2 linked regions of the Macaca mulatta genome follow. The protein of the gene in region 2 binds, or shares a complex with, the protein of the main gene of each other region. Links are inferred from orthologs where the notes say so. Each region holds a gene or a part of one and is shown on either strand. Other genes may lie near its edges.

Region 1 (8,132 bases), on a different chromosome or scaffold from region 2:
CTCTATTTTACGCTCATGGCACAACTATTTTACATTTTCGGCTGGCAGCCACACTGCACAGCCTGAGTCTGGGATGCCAAGCCTTTGGCCCTGGTACACCTCATTGGTGCCCACGACTGGCACGGAGGATGCACCCACCCAAGGACACAGGAGTGGCGGCCGTCCAAAGAACCAAATGTGTGAGACATGACCAGTGGTTCCCTGGGTAGCAAGGCTGACGGTCATTTTTATTTGCTGCTTTGCATTTCCCTTTATTTTCCAAATTTTCAAAAGTGACCACGTGCCATTTTTAATTAAAAAAAAAAAAAATCCTTAAAAAGCAACGGATGTGCGAAAGCATGGCCCCGGCTGAGCTGAGCACAGGCCCCCCCCTCTGTCCCAGGGGACCGGGACATGGAGCAGGAGGAGGGCGGCGAGGCGGTGCACGAGGTGGAGGTGATCATCAAGCACAACCGGTTCACAAAGGAGACCTATGACTTCGACATCGCCGTGCTCCGGCTCAAGAGCCCCATCACCTTCCGCATGAACGTGGCACCCGCCTGCCTCCCCGAGCGCGACTGGGCCGAGTCCACGCTGATGACGCAGAAGACGGGGATTGTGAGCGGCTTCGGGCGCACCCACGAGAAGGGCCGGCAGTCCACCAGGCTCAAGATGCTGGAGGTGCCCTACGTGGACCGCAACAGCTGCAAGCTCTCCAGCAGCTTCATCATCACCCAGAACATGTTCTGTGCCGGCTACCACGCCAAGCAGGAGGACGCCTGCCAGGGGGACAGTGGGGGCCCCCACGTCACCCGCTTCAAGGACACCTACTTCGTGACAGGCATCGTCAGCTGGGGAGAGGGCTGCGCCCGGAAGGGGAAGTACGGGATCTACACCAAGGTCACCGCCTTCCTCAAGTGGATCGACAGGTCCATGAAAACCAGGGGCTTGCCCAAGGCTGAGAGCCGTGCCCCAGAGGCCAGCACGTCCTCTCCATTAAAGTGAGATCCCACGCAAGGCCTGGTATGTCTCTCGATTGCCGCCTTGCCCTGGCTTCTCCCGCCATCGGGGTGGGAAGGTGAAGTACGTCTGGAACCCGAGCTCCCGCCCTTCCCAGCTAGGCTGGGGATTCCTCCAGGGAATGTTCTAGTCTGTTCTAGATGGGCAGGATGGAGGCTCCAAGGATGATACTGTGCTGTGACTGCCATGGGCATTCCTTTCCCTGGACAGCTTCCTGTGTCTGGGTCACGCCCAGAGGCAGGTGGGAGCCTGTGCAGGCCCCGTGGGGTCGGGAGGGGCCCACACGCTGGCATGTCCTCCCCAAGACCTCCCACCTGGCCTGGTCTCTCTTGTTCCCCTTGGGAACTGGACACCTCCCCGGTGACTGCCTAGGACTCACAGACTCCCCGGTAGGGAAACGTCCAGAAAGCCTCTTGTTGGGGCGGACGTTTTGCATTGACCTAAACCATCGGGTGCTCTTCAACCGCACGGTGCCAGGCCCCACCCCAGCTTGGGCTTGCATGGTGGGGGCGCACGGACATCCCCCGGGTGGGTGACCTGTTCACCAGGCGGTGACCTACCTCACACCGTGGGCCCCCACCCTGGCCACCCTTAGAATCCCCTGGGGGCTTTAGCATGCCTGCATCCAGGCCACAGCCTGGCCCCTGAAATCAGTCTCTGGAGTGAAGCTGGCCAGGGGCTTCTGGAAGCTTCTGGAGCTCCTCAGGGGCTGAGTGGCGGTGGTGTGGCAGGAGGGGCTTCAGGGGGCTCCTCCTTCTCTCCTCAGGTCCAGATGTTGAGTCCTTACCCCGCTGCATCCGGCACTGTCCCTTGGCCTCAAGTTAAATGGCCATGAAAACCAAGTGAACCTTCAGTAAACAGAAAAGACTCCAGATAAGGCCTGCCGTGTGTCTCCCAAACATCCCCTGCAGTTTGCGTCTTGTGTAATGTCCCTAAGCAAAGTTCAACAGTTCTAGTACAAAAACTCCCCCAAAAAGTCATGAGCTGGGCAAAACCGTTCGTAAACAGATGTTGCGAAGTTAGGGAAAATCAAAGTGGACAGGTGTTCGACCTCCCAGAAACGGTCTGAGGAGGGGCCTGTCTCCCAGCGTGGGCGGGAGGGCGTTCCTGGCCTGCCCGCTCTGAGGCCTCCTCCATGGAGCCAGCTGTTGGGCTCCTCGCCAGCCCTTGCTGGAGGAGCGGCTTCTGCCTCGGAACTAGCACGTGTTGGGCTGCATTTCCTAGGCAGCAACGTGGTCCCCACAGCCCCAGAGGTAAACCCTGGACTTGGATTCCCGTTTCTGGAAATCAAAGGTTGAGTGGGGTCCAGAGAGAACTCTGGGGAAAAATTTACAAGTGAAGCCCGCCATCACCATCCCTGTCTGCACCCCTGGTTCCTGCCACACTGGGTGCCCGGTGCCCGTGCCCGCCTCGGGATAGAAAGGAAACCAGAGGCTGCAGAGAGAAGGGCCTGGGGGGTCGCAGCTCAGCATCTGCCGAAGCCCCATCCAGAAATAGGGTCTCGTCCAGGGAGGTGCGGGAGGAGAGGCCCCAGTCCTGGACGCGTGCTCGGTGTTAACGTCTCAGCTCTGTGGGCTCCTGCGCTGCTGTGGCGGGGATTTTCTCTCTGCCTGAACATCTCCTTCTTCATAAGTAAAGGCAAGTGGGTTAAACCCACGTCATCTCCATGTTCACTCAGAATGGGCTAGGCCTGGGCCAGGGGACACTCTGTGACCTGAGACCCCCAGAATCCCCTGAGGGAAGCCCAGCTCTGTTTTGGGAAATAACTGAAGTGGCTGCTCGTGTGAGGTGAGACCCTGAGGACCGCAAGCAGCAGGCGGTCACGGCGGGGAGCAAAGAGGGGGGAAGTGATTCCCCCGAGAGTGAGGGAGAGACAACCTGCAGCAAAGCCCCATCGCCTCCCGCAGTGACTCCTCCGCTCCCCCTGGGAGACCCCTCAAATTCTCCAAACCTTGCTTCCCTCTGCCCTCCTGGAGCTTGGCCATTTCAGCACATGCACTGCCATCCTCCCAGTCGTTCAGCCCAAACCTTGAAGCCATGCTGCCCGACCCCATTCATCATGAATCCCATCAGCTTCCCCTTCGTGAAGCATCCAGACTGCAAACGTGCTTCCCGCTGCATGGCTGCACCCCCGCCCCGTCCGGGACTAGCCAGCAGCCTCCCTTTTGACTTCTCTGGAATGTTCTGTTCTCCACACAGCAGCCACAGTGATCCCTTCAGAGCACAAATCTTTCCATGTCAATTCCTGTTCCCTCCAGTATCTTCCCAACACAGTGGAAAGGAAACACCAGGTTCTTACCTCAGGCTTCAAGTGCTGATACGGTTTGGCTGTGTCCCCACCCAAATCTTGTCTTGAACTGTAATTGCCATAATCCCCACGTGCCGAGGGAGGGACCCCGTGGGAGGTGATTGGATCATGGGGGAGGTTTCTGCCACGCTGTTCTTGGGACAGTGAGTCTCATGAGATTTGATGGTTTTATAAGCATCTGGCATTTCTGCTGCTTGCACTCGTTCTCTCTGCTGCCACCCTGTGAAGAGGTGCCTTCTGCCATAATTGTAAGTTTCCTGAGGCCTCCCCAGCCATGTGGAACTGGGAGTCAACTAAACCTCTTTTCTTAAATTACCCGGTCTTGGGTATTTCTTCATAACAGTGTGAGAAAGGACTAATACAAAGGGCCTACATCTGAAAGCAGCAAATTACAACCCTAGGGCCAAATCTGGCCCCTTAATAGCTCTTATAAATAAAGCTTTATTGGCACAAAACCAAGTGTTCATTCATGATTGCCTGTGCTGCCTCTGATACAATGGTGCTGAGCTGTAGTGACAGACACCATTTGGCCCTTACCCCCTTTCTCCCTCCTCCCTCCCTCCCTCTTCTCCCCTTCCTTCCTTCCATCTTCCATCCTTCTCTCCCTCACTCACTCCTTTTTCTTTCCCTCGTTCCTTCCTGTGTATTCCACACACACTTAGAACATAAGCTGCATTGTGACTTTGTCCCACCCACTGCTGTGTCCCCAGGCTGGGGCTGTGCCTGTCTCACCTCCAACTCACTACACACGGCATGGGTGTCTCCTTCCACCATGCACCTGCTGCCTTTACCCTCCATTCTCTGTCTCCCTAAATATCTCCCAGGGCCCTCTGAGCCTTCACTGTTCATTTCTCTGCCTGGCCTCAAACAGAAAACGTCAGGAGGGAAGCACACAGCTGTGCAGGTCATGCCCCGAGGCTCCTGCTGCCAGCACCTCCCCCAGCCTGGACTTTGGCTGTGTTTGCAGCCCTGTCCCAGTGCTGCGGGTAGGAATGGCAGGCTGCATCCCGCTGCTTCAGGGCCTGGTCCTGGTCCTCGCCCTCCAGCGTGCGGAGCCCTCAGGTAGGCGTCTGGCTTACCTGTCTGTCGTGCCTGTGCTGTGTCCTTGATTCAGTCCACGGTGGATTTGTAGGTGACACTTTTCCCAGGAGCCGGAGGAGCCCTGAGTGCCCAGACTTGTCTTAATTCCCCTGAAAAAGCCGTTTAGGTCTTTATCATTTGGTGACAAGTATTTGGGACATGATGGTGTCACTTGGGGTCCTCCCAAGAGATGCCCAAATGGAAAGAAGCGTGTGTGCAGGAGATTCGGTGGGGAAAGGCCAGGGAGGGGGGAGGGGGTGGGGCAGGCCGAGCCCAGACTGGAGGTGGGAGGGGGTGGGGCAGGCCGAGCCCAGACTGCAATGTGGGCAGAGAGCGCCTTGGCCAGGCCGGCCAGGAGTGCTCAGTCTTGAGTCAGGAGACACAGCCAGGGAGCAGCCACCCTGCCCGCCTGCCACCCTTCTACCACCAGCCACTTCGCTGGAGGAACAGCCACGGACTCCATCCTGACTCTGCCTGCACACGCGTCCAGGAAAGCTGCAAGTCAAACACCCAGCGTCGCTGCTGGCCCCATGGTCTCCCTCTGGAGAGGCTGACCCCCCGCCCCCACCGCCCTGCCCAGCACTTACCGTGGCTGGACTTAGCTGAGCCGTCCCTGCTGTAACCCTCAGCACCGAGAGAAAGAGAGGCAGGATGTGAAGGGCCTGGGCTTTGACCCTCCGGGAGAGGGAGAGAATGTGCTTTGGGGCCCTTGGGCAGGAAGAGCCTCTAGAGACCACAGCCGCGGGCAGACTGGTTTGCCTTCTCCTCCTGGAAATCGCAGAGCCTGCTGCAATGTATAAGTTTCTTCTCTTTGTGTTTTATCAAGATGTTAAATCCTGTGCACAGAGGCAGCACAGGAGCTGATGGCTCTTGGTCCCCAGTTCTCAGCACAATGACCTTTGACCCCAGCTCGGCCTTCCTTCGCACTCGGACCCAAAACCCAGTTGGAGACCTCCCTCTTCCACTTTCCCGACTGAGGCCCGTGGCCTCTCTGCAGAACCTTAATGTATCTGCACTGATCCCGGGGCTGGTCCATTCGCCCAGAGGATGAAGTGCTTGCCTACCTCGGGGGAGGTAGTGGCGGGGTGGTCCTGAGGCTCTCGAAGGCTGAGAGCCTGTGGAGACGGAGGGGCAGGGGCTGGCGACTGGCTGGGGTGGAAGCCAGGCAGTTCTGGAAAGTAGGGCCCTCGGTGCTCCCAGTCACCGTCTTCTTGTCTTGTCTGTAGTATTTCTCCCGGCCTCCAAAGCAAACGACGTTCTGGCAAGGTGGAAGCGCGCGGGCTCCTATCTCCTGGAAGAACTCTTCGAGGGAAACTTGGAAAAAGAATGTTACGAAGAAATCTGTACCTATGAAGAAGCAAGAGAAGTGTTTGAAAATGAAGTGGTCACTGTATGTACCCCCCACCACGAACCACAGGCTTCCTCGTTATTTAGACTTCTGCTGACCCAGGGAGCATCATTTCTCAGAGATTCAGCTTAATTAATGAGCCTATTTACTTACTGATGAGGTTGACACAATCCCAGTTTTACAGATGAGGAAACAATTTAGAGAAGTGACTTAATCCACCCACTGATCCACCCTTACCTACAGCAGGTGAGTGGGGCCAGAAGTCAGCTCAGACCCCACTGGACTTTCTTCAGGTCAGGCAAGGCCCACACACTGATCAGACAGTCCAACACACACGCCGCCCAGCTTGCGGTGACTTTCAGAGAACTTCATGCTTTTAATAGAGACCTTAAAAAAAAGCTTGAAAACAGAAACGTCCTCTCTGGGATGCCACATAGTAAGAAAATCATAATCCGTGCTTGGGATTACATAAATGATTTGCTTCACATGTGACTCTGTGTATGCTCTAAATAACACAAGTAAGAATTTGCTATTTTATTTATTTATTTTTTGTATTTTTTTGAGACAGAGTCTCGATCTGTGGCCTAGGCTGGAGTGCAGTGGTGTGATCTTGGCTCACTGCAAGCTCCGCCTCCTGGGTTCAAGTGATTCTCCTGCCTCAGCCTCCCAAGTAGCTGGGACTACAGGTGCCCGCCACCACGCCCGGCTAATTTTTTTTGTATTTTTAGTAGGGACGGGGTTTCACCATGTTGGGCAGGATGGTCTCAATCTCCTGACCTCATGATCCACCCACCTTGGCCTCCCAAAGTGCTGGGATTACAGGCGCAAGCCACCGCGCCCAGTCTAAAATTGATTCTAAATTAAATGTTGACCTGTTTCTCAAGTATAATTTTTAATGTTTTTAAAATTCTAGTTTCTTAAATACCTATCTATAAGATAACTTATGAAATAGATCATTTTTAATACAACTCAGAGAAATCCTACAGGCATGTGAAAAGTGTAAAAATTTTTCAAAGTATTTTGCCCTAAATTTCATTTTTCAAACTTCTGGTACAGAAAATTGTTTTTCATTTACTACTTATGACATTGTTCAAGTTGTTAGAAGTCCAAATATGATCTTAGGATATGCCATTTTTTATACATTTTCTTTCTAGGCTTCAAGTCTGAATAATTCTCCTAATTTTAGATACTCCTACTCCAAACTAAGCGTCCCCACTCCCTACACAGGTACATATCTTTAAAATTCAACTCGGTTTATGAAAAGTGAAAAGGTGATGTGACTTCTCTATCACATGCTTTTGTGGAGGGTGGCGTGGAGATTGGCCCTAGGAGGGAAGGGCCACATTAGGGGCTGTGTGTGGCGGGTTTGTGCCACGTCACAGACTCCGGCTTTCCTCAAATAGGTGCTGGTAAGCACATGTTGAGTAATTTATCTTACAGATACATCTAGTTACTACACATTTAACATAAACAATTAGGCTGTAAAACAGGAAAACCGTGCATTGTTTCAAACACTATTGTCCCATTAGGTGAATAAAATCAACATTTTCTTACCTTCAAGTTCATCTACAGGAAAGAATATAGAAAAACAAATGTCCTGTTTGTAACACTTTTATGTTTTAATTCTAAAGGATGAATTCTGGAGACGATATAAGGGTAAGCGGTTTCCTTCATCTCCTCAGAAGTATTAATTCCTCGGGATGAGGTGAGGGGTGGGCTTAGGACGCTTCATGACCCCAGGTCGGCGGATGTCAAGCCTTTGGCTCCAGAACCCGTGATGTCTCTCCAGGGAAGGGCGCAGCTCGGACTCTGCCCGAGGACCAGGTCAGGAAGCCCCTGGGCTCTGCCCCCAGGGCCACAGGCAGCGGCCGGTTTATCTTGCCCAGCGTCTGGGTAGTTTCTGGGCACTCTGGGACACAGGCCACAGGCCAGGAGGCCCCCCCAGAGCAGCTCCTCCATCCGCCTGGCTCCTGGCTCCTGGCTCCTGGGCTCCTGGCTCCTGGGCTCCTGGTTCCTGGGCTCCTGGGCTCCTGGGCTCTGGGCTCCGGGCTCCGGGCTCCTGGGCTCCTGGGCTCCTGGGCTCCTGGTTCCAGGTTCCAGGCTCCTGGCTCCTGGGCTCCTGGGCTCCTGGTTCCAGGCTCCTGGCTCCTGGCTCTTGGGCTCCTGGCTCCTGGCACCTGGGCTCCTGGCTCCTGGGATCCTGGTTCCTGGGCTCCTGGCTCCTGGGCTCCTGGCTCCTGGGCACCTGGCTCCTGGGCTCCTGGCTCCTGGCTCCTGGGCACCTGACTCCTGGCTCCTGGGCACCTGGCTCCTGGGCTCCAGGGCTACTGGCTCCTGGCTCCTGGGCACCTGGCACCTGGCTCTGGGCTCCTGGCTCCGGGCTCCTGGGCTCCAGGG
Region 2 (8,274 bases):
GGCCCCACAATGCAGAGGCCACCAGCAGGCAGGTACATGACTCTCCACACAAATGTCTGCCCTGGGGTGTGTGGCCTGGCTGGTTGTAAAGTGGCTTCCCCTGCCGGGGCTTTGCAAGTCTGGTGCCAGCTCTGCGAAAGTGGCATCCAGCCCATATCTAGTACCCCATTAGGGAGGCAGGGCTGGACAGAACCTAGGATCAGGAGGTCAGGAGGTTCTTGTTTGGGTTTTGCCTCTGCCACTTATTGTGTGACCTTGATCAGGCTAACCTCTGAGCTGCTTTGATCTTTAGAAAGGAGACAACAACTCCTGCTCTACCTGCTGATTGACAGTTAGGAAGAACAAGTAAAGCATAGATACTCAGTGTCTGCTATGTGCCAAGTCCATCTGGGCACTTTACATTCATTGTCTCATTTAACCTCTAACTCTATAGTAGGTGGAGTGTCACTATTTTCTATAATAAGAATCTAAGGGCAGAGAGCTGGTCAAAAAAGTAAAAATGAAGGAGCAATGATTCACTTCTAAATCCCCCAGATAATCCCCCCACCTCCCTCTTTTTGGAATGACCCTGTGCTTCTGAACATCAGAGGGGAGCTGTGTAGAGTACTTTGAAAATTATAAGGACTACAAGCACATAGGATGCCAGGGCAGGACCTCAAGTGACTGTTCAATATGTGTATCAACCTGTATTTGAAACCTGAAAACACATTCATAGAAAATCATTTAGCGTTAACCCTATGCTGGCCTAACGGAAGGAAAGGGAGAGACAGTTGTAGGACCCTGTGGCCTTGGGAGAGCAGAATATTATCAAAGTACCTTTGAACAAGATGTAATCCACAAGAATTAATTTGGTTTCAGGATAAATCTCATCAAACAGTTTGGGAATTTTCCCCTGAGTCTCTTTGTTAATGTAATGATTCATGAGCCTTTTGGCCTGTGAGGCATTGTGAAAATTCATAAGCACACACTCTGTATCAAAATACCTCTTGGATAAATTGAGGAAGAGCTCTTTGACATAAAAATCCTTGTGGATGAAGGCAAAACTCCCCTGTGTGAGGCCCAGTTCCAAGTTGTGGGAGAGGGTCTCTCTGAGTCCCTTAAAGAGGGAGGGCAGGAGCCCGGGCTTGGTGGTGTTCAGGGACTGCAAGTGGAGCCCTGTCTTGATCTGGGCTTCGGTCGGCCCTGTGGCCCCCAGCATCAAGCCTGCCATGGCCAAGGACACACCAAATGGAGAGAAGACCATGTTGCCATCGTGCCTCATGGAGATCTTTCGCAGCAGGCTGAATCCGAAGTTTGAAGTCTCCTTGGCAAGCTGCTGCCCACTAGCTATCAGCCAGGCTTTCTCCTCCTCACCGGCCTTCTCGCTGGCCTCCTCCTCATCCTCCTCTTCCTCCCTGGGAGCCTGCACTACCCCGCCGGTCTGGTTCTGAAGGGCCGGGGCCTCTGGCGACTGAGGACTGGGGGCCAAGCTGGGTACCAACCACACCTGTGCCAGGAGGACGGAGAGCAGGAGGCTTGGCACCACCTTCATGTGGTCGGCTGCAGAGGCCAAGGAGTGCCTCCCCTCAGCTGCAAGACTTCCTGTGGAGAGAAGAGGACAGAGATGGTTTTAATGCCTCCTAAAGTGTCTTAGTGGATAGTAAAAGCTTCTTCAGGGACCCTGCCTCCTTCCTGTGGCTAAGTAGGTTAGCCCTGTCCCAGGGAGACCTGAAGCAAGTGTGGGTGACATTTGCTCACCCAATGAGGGGACATTATTTCACAGAGCAAAACCTCCTCTAGTTCCCATTCCCTGCCCAGCTGTCAGGCAGCTCTCGGTCCTGACCCCTTTTTTATTCATCCCATCTCCTTCCTGAGGGCTAGGGCAAGAGACCTCGCTCTGGGAGCAGGAGGCAGCACAGAAGGTGGGGGTCTGAGCAGGTGGAATCAGGGGTCCTCACACACCTTTCCCTGATCTGCTTCGTTCATTGCCCTGACCCTCCGGCCATCAGGCTGCCCATCCAGATGGGTGGCCGGCCTTGCCCTGTGCCCTGTTTGGCTGGGGATTGGAGTGCCTGCATGCCTGTTAGGCAAGGAAGGGGGAAAGTATTGGAGCTTTCCTGGATTTTTGATCAAAATTCTCTTCGCACTGCACCTCTGCCACACAGTTCCTTGGACGTCTTCCTTCCTTCCTATAGCTGCGGCTCCCAGGTAGCAGGAGGCCCCGCAATTCATACAACCCACTGCTGGGCTCCCTCCACTGTGGCCTCATAGAGCCCTCCCAGCCACCTGGGCTGCCTGCCGGCTCTCACTGCCCCCGGCTGCACAGCGTGGGAGCCACACTTCCTCACCGTTCGCTGTCCCCTTCTCTGTTGCCTTTTAGGCTCCCTCCACATCCTTGGACACAGAGCCTGGCTCCCGAACACTTGTATGATTTCCATCCAAATACATGGCTTGGGGCTGGGCTGGGCCACCTAGCTGTGTCCCAACTCAGTTCTGGTGCTGAGCCACACTGCAGGCCTGATCCCAGAGGCTGACTGAGCAGGACCCCCAGGACACCTGCCCTCCCTCATCCTCTCTCTGGGCCCACTGCCCTGGGAGGGTCTGCATGGGGTCGGCCACCCAGCCCAGTGAGCGCAGGGTGGATGCTGCGGGCCTCATGAGAGTTCCCATCCGCAGAGACCCTTATTCTTGACCAAGGTCACCTGCAGCAAAATGTGACAGGCAGGGAACTCCCAGGCGTCTTCTCCCTGATGCAGGGACTGAGTCCTTATCTATGCGTGGGACAAAACCGCCTCCAGCGCCGGGGCCCAGCATGTTGCTCCTTGTTTAGGCTGAATGGCACCCGAGAATTCAGGGCCGCACTCTGCAGTCTGAACGGCACTCCCCTCTGCCTTAAAGAAGCAGTGAAATACTTCCACTGTGTTTCCCAAAGGACACTGTTGAGGAAACTCTTTTTGACTCTAAATGGCAAGCCTGTGTTCAATAGGTCACTCAAGTATTGTAAATGTTGGGGAAATAGCTCTTTCAGTGTAAACGCAGCCCAGTTTCATGCTTTTATTGTTATGGATTGAATGTGTTCCCCCAGAATTCATAAGTTGAAGCCCTAACCCCCATTGTGATTGCAGTAGAGTTGAGGCCCTTGGGAGGTGATTAGGTTTGGATGAGGTCATGAGGGCAAGGCTCCTGTGATAGCAGTAGTGCTGTTATAAGAAGAGAGACCAGACTTCCCCTCCGCACCTCCTTGCCATGGGAGGACACGGTGAGAAGATGGCCATCTGCAAGCCAAGAAGACGGCCCTCCAGAATCCGGCCACACTGGCCCCCTGACTCGGACTTTCAGCCTCCAAAACTGTGAAAAATCAATGGCTGTTGGAGCCACCCAGTCTGTGGTGTTTTGTTAGAGGAGCCTGAACTAAGACGATTACGTGGCATCATTTAATGCTACTTTCTACATGAAGACCACACAGAATACTCCTGAATTCAAGGTTAGTTCTCCCTGTCACAGTGGTCGGGAAATTAGCACAGCACGCCAACCAGATGTCACCGCTTCCAAATGCTGAGTCTTACCTTCCTGTTCTTGAAGCTTGTCCTACAGTCTGCAGAGTGGTAGCCCAGTAATTCCTGGGCGCTCCTGAACAGGTACCCCCTAAGGTCTTTGTAAGGTCTTTGCTCATCTACTCAACCCTTCGAAGTCTAGGCCAGGAGTTCAGGGGGCGCTCCTGGACTAGGACACCATCCAGCATGGTGAGGACGCACCTTCCTAGACAGAGCCCGGGCAGTAAGCAACCACCAGCTCACCCGCCACTTCTCAGCCCTGGGAGAGCACACACCCCTCCTCCCCTCAGCCCTGGGAAGGGGAGCCCTGCTTACTCCGGCAGTGAGTTGCGGTGGGTGAAATACCAAGCCTTTCAAGCCTCTTTCCCTTGGCCTCCTTCCTGCAGAGGATCCCCTTGTGTCTATAATTCACCTCTCACCCCGCTCCAGCTCCTGGTCTGTATGTGCAGTCCCCATGGAGTGCAGGATTGAGGCCTTTGCACTGCTCAGCCACGCAGCCCTCACGTTGGAGCCCACCCAGAGATGATACCATCTCTCCCGGTCCCTCCCTGATTAGACTCGTTGAAGGTCTCCTGTAACCCACTACCTCTTACCAGTGTGTGGCCTTGGGTCCTGGAAATGTCCTTCATTCAGAGCAGAAACCAAAGCTTCAGCTTTGCAGCTGAGAACCTTCAGCAAATATTTGCTATTCCAAAGTATGATTCCCTGTGGGACGGTTACTGATTAACATCCTGCTTGTGATGGTGGAATTTTCAGAAAACCAAAGACCAAGTGGGAGGCTTCCCATACTCCCCAGCTCCTCCTGTAACCCAGAATACGACCCAAATCCCATCGCGAGAGCTTCTGCCTTGCAACTCAAGGCTTCGCCCCAGTAAGATTCAGCTCCTTCTGGGTGGCACGTTGGGGATTTCTCTTGAGCTGTTCCAGGTGCTGAACACCTCGAGAAAGAAGGCACTGGGGGGTCCCGTGTATGCTTCCTGAGTCCCCAACCCAGTGCTGGACACTGTGGGGATGTCGGTTGGGGGGTACAGCAGAGATGTTCAGGACCTGCTCTCTCAGCCCTCAAGTCAGTCCAGTGTGGGAAGCAGACAGGTAAATCACTACTTAGAGTACATAGCTCCTTTCAAGGTAAATTTCCTGCTTTGCAATGTTTCTGTACTTGAGACTGAATCCTTGGGTACTCAGAGTTGAGGCTGGTGGAGACCCTTTATGGGAAAACTTCTCAGACTTCGCAGACTCTCTTTTTAAAAATATATAAATAAATATTTTGTTATGTGCCCCTTACTACTACCCTTGAAGTGAAATGTATAGCTAACATAACCTACCCACAAAATTAAAAAAAACAATGCTGTAACGATAATGTGGAGGCATAATAAAAGAGAATAATGTGTCCCTGAATATGGCAGTGCTGTGGTCTAAGGGCCTGGGCAGGTGCAGTGAGGCCACCCAATATGGAGCCCGCAGGAGGCCGCATGTAAGATGCTCACTGCTGGCCAGTCAACACGACAACCAATGTTACTACCAGGGATAGAGTTTTCAAAATGGTAAATAATGCTTGGTAAAGTTTCAAACAAACAAAATACAGATCTTTGCCTGATTTACACGGTCATTGTCTTCACAGAAAATGCAGTGTGTAGTAAAACCTTGGATAAACATTGTATTTTTATATGAAACAAAGCAGCCCCAGGACTGAGATTCTAGGCTCAGATAATGCCACGTGAACTTGAGGTGGACATGTGAGTCCTGGGGGACCTGGCGGCCTCTTCATCGTGGGAGACTGCCCTGCGTGTTCTGGTATGTCTGGCATTGCTCACCCTCAATCCTTAAATGCTAGTAGCACTCCCCACAAACGTTTGTGAAGAGCAGTAGTATCCCAACAAGTTTCCAGGGTGTTCCTTTCGGGCAGTACCTGCTCTGTTGATAGGCAGTTCTTTAAGAGGTGAAAGTGAGGGTGTAGAGGGGCCAGGCTGGACCCACGCCATGCATATGAGCCAGCCTTGGCCTGCCCATCCAGGTCGAGCTCTGCAGCTGAGGGATTGTGGATTCGCAAAAAGCAGGGGCACTTCCTCCAGGCTTGGGAAGGTGTCTGCTTTGCTAAATGTCTGAGCGGAGCTAGCGAGTGTGCAGGTCTTAGGGCACAGGGCTTCTTTTATTTATTTATTTATTTATTTATTTATTTATTTATTTTGAGATGGAGTCTTGCCCTGTCACCCAGTCTGGAATGCAATGGCATGATTTCGGCTCACTGTAACCTCTGCCTCCTGGGTTCAAACGATTCTCCTGCCCCAGCCTCCCGAGTAACTGGGATTACAGGTGCCCACCACTATGCCTAGCTAATTTTTGTATTTTTAGTAGAGACAAGGTTTCACCATGTTGGCCAGGCTGGTCATGAACTCCTGACCTTGTAATCCACCTGCCTCTGCCTCCCAAAGTGCTGGGATTATGGAGGCATGAGCCACCACGTCTGGCCAGGGCACAGGGTTTCAGAAATGGATCCTTACAAACGAAGGCAGCAGAGTATTCTGGAAAAATTGTGAAGACTTCAACCAGGCCATTGCCTCCTGCCCTGGTGTGAATCTGAGGTCCTCTGCTCCCAATTCCTAGCTGCTGGATGTAAGTTAACCTCATCGAACCGGCCTTTCTTCCTCTGTTAAATGGTCAGAACTCAGACTCTGCCCTATGAATATCTCAGCAGCACCAAGGAACCAGGAAGTGCGTGGACGATCTTGCTCCTAAGGCTGTGAGCCCTGGACCCCAGGGTGTGGCTCAGAAGTCCCCCTCCTTCAGCGACGACATTATTCCTGTACACCTCCCAGCAAGGGAGCCAACCACTCTTTGACCTTTAGCCCTCCAGTTAGATGGGAAAGTGAGAAAACTCAGTGCATAGCACTGTAGCCTGAGCTCTTTCACCAGCAGCATGACCCTGAGCAAGCTACCTAACCTCTCTTAACCTCAGTTTCCCAATCTATAAAATGGGGCTCCCCAGGCTGAGCCGTTAGGACTTCTGGAAGGATGAACTGAAGTGGTGCCTGTGGAGTTTAGTACCTCGCCCGGTAGGAAGGAAGTGCTACAGGAATGGCATTTGTTGCATAATTTTAGAGCCAGATTGAACCTCAGAAGTAAGTAACCCTGTCTTCAGGCTTTGATTTTACAAAGGAAGATATTCAGGCCCCCCAATGAATGCCTTTCCTGTTAGAGTTAAAGCAGGCTGTCTGACTTCTAGTTGTTATGAACTTTAGCTTCTCACACTCCTTGGCCAAAAACGATTGGGAAAGCTCTGGTGGGAAGGCCTCTGGTGACCCAGATAAACTCACAGGTGATATAGAACCTTTCCTGGAACTCCCCTCAGGCAGGAGGCACAACTTCTGAAAGCCACTCTTCAGGGTGACATCGAGGGGCTTCTAAGGCAAATCTGTCCAGAGACCTACAGGGGTAAACATCTGAAAAACAAGTGTTAAGGCAGTCCTGTGAGACCAAAAGCAGACTCCAGGAAACAATGAGAGAACTGCAAGAGTTTACTTTGTGTGGATCCTATGAAGCGAGTGCTTGGGTAGGTGGATAGTAAAGGAAACCAGACTATGTTACCCCCTGATATGGTCTGGCTATGTCCCCACCAAATCTCATCTTGAATGGTAGCTTCCATAATTGCCACATGTTGTGGGAGGGACCCAGTGGGAGATCATTGAATCGCGGAGGTGATTCCCCCATACTGTTCCCGTGGTAGTGAGTAAGTCTTATGAGATCTGATGGTTTTATAAGGGGAAACTCCTTTTGCTTGGCTCTCATTCTCCCTCTTGCCTGCTGCCATGTAAGACCGTAAGACCTGCCTTTCGCCTTCTGCCATGATTGTAAGTCCTCTCCAACCATGTGGAATGGTGAGTCCATTAAATCTGTTTTTCTCTATAAATTACCCAGTCTTGGGTATGTCTTTATTAGCAGTGTAAAAATGGACTAATATACCCTAAATATGCATTTCTGATATAAAAATTATTTTTGAACTGAAGGTAATTAAGCAGCAAATGGAGAAAAAGTTTTCTCTATCTTCCCCCCTTTCTTCCTAGACAGATAAAAATTCTCCTTTACTGGAGATGACTCCAGACTCTTATCAACCCAGAGATGGCATCAGAGGACTATGCGAACAAGGTTTCCTCCCATATGTTTACCTTCTGTGATTTCCTGCCCTTGGAAGCATAAAACCACTTCCCTTGTCCCGTCCCATGATTTTCCTACTAATTTATTGCTCTTTATTAAAGATAAGTGGAGTTCTAAGGCACCATTTTCAGTTGCTTTTTATACAGGTTTCTCCTGTGTGAAGTGCATGGCCCATGTTATAAACTGATTTTTCTCTTGTCTGTCTTTTGTTACAGGAGTCCATCCCAACAAAGAACTAAGATGGGAAGAGGTCAAGTTTAGCCTTCCCCTACAGTAGTAGAGAGGTAGGAACAAAAGGGCTTTCCAAGTCCTTGCATCATACACACGCACATGCACATGCACACACAGGTGCAAATTTCTCGCTGATTTCCAGACATCCCTTCTGCCTCGAACTTTAAAGACATCTTCCCATTGTGTTATGGCTTATGTGAGTTCTTCTTTTTAAACTTCTAATTTAGAAATAACTTTAAACTTACAAAAATTTGCAAAAATCATGTTTTTGCCATCTACCCTTCACCCAGCTTCCACAAATATGAGCATATCATATGACTATAGTACATAACCACAGTGTATTAGTCCGTTTTCATGC

Evidence for each region.
Region 1: the proteins of SERPINA10 (region 2) and PROZ are in contact, whole or in part, in a crystal structure (PDB 3H5C), measured with the Homo sapiens proteins. The link is inferred for Macaca mulatta from reciprocal best matches to the Homo sapiens genes SERPINA10 and PROZ. Residues at the interface, in NP_001094077.1 of Homo sapiens: Arg88, Lys89, Ser91, Met92, His94, Asp95, His257, Asp259, Lys260, Tyr261, Asn282, Phe283, Lys305, Met306, Asp308, His309, Leu310, Ala311, Leu312, Asp314, Tyr315, Leu316; in NP_003882.1 of Homo sapiens: Cys129, Pro131, Cys141, Leu142, Pro143, Ser151, His250, Met251, Arg252, Asp254, Ala257, Glu259, Asn260, Glu284, Lys285, Asp286, Phe287, His290, Leu291, Thr336, Thr337, Arg338, Arg390, Ser392, Leu393, Trp394, Gln397.

The regions. Positions count from the first base shown.
Region 1 is NC_133422.1:107,391,328-107,399,459, forward strand, and holds the start of PROZ (vitamin K-dependent protein Z), read left to right. Parts: upstream 1-4,001; 5' UTR 4,002-4,299; coding exon 4,300-4,369; intron 4,370-4,386; exon of another isoform or gene 4,387-4,497; intron 4,498-4,974; exon of another isoform or gene 4,975-5,174; intron 5,175-5,451; exon of another isoform or gene 5,452-5,613; coding exon 5,614-5,777; intron 5,778-5,972; exon of another isoform or gene 5,973-7,366; coding exon 7,367-7,391; exon of another isoform or gene 7,392-7,863; intron 7,864-8,132. UniProt on the Homo sapiens protein: Appears to assist hemostasis by binding thrombin and promoting its association with phospholipid vesicles. Inhibits activity of the coagulation protease factor Xa in the presence of SERPINA10, calcium and phospholipids.
Region 2 is NC_133412.1:167,566,521-167,574,794, forward strand, and holds the start of SERPINA10 (protein Z-dependent protease inhibitor), read right to left. Parts: upstream 4,271-8,274; 5' UTR 4,127-4,270; intron 4,089-4,126; exon of another isoform or gene 3,546-4,088; intron 1,582-3,545; 5' UTR 1,532-1,581; coding exon 817-1,531; intron 1-816. UniProt on the Homo sapiens protein: Inhibits activity of the coagulation protease factor Xa in the presence of PROZ, calcium and phospholipids. Also inhibits factor XIa in the absence of cofactors.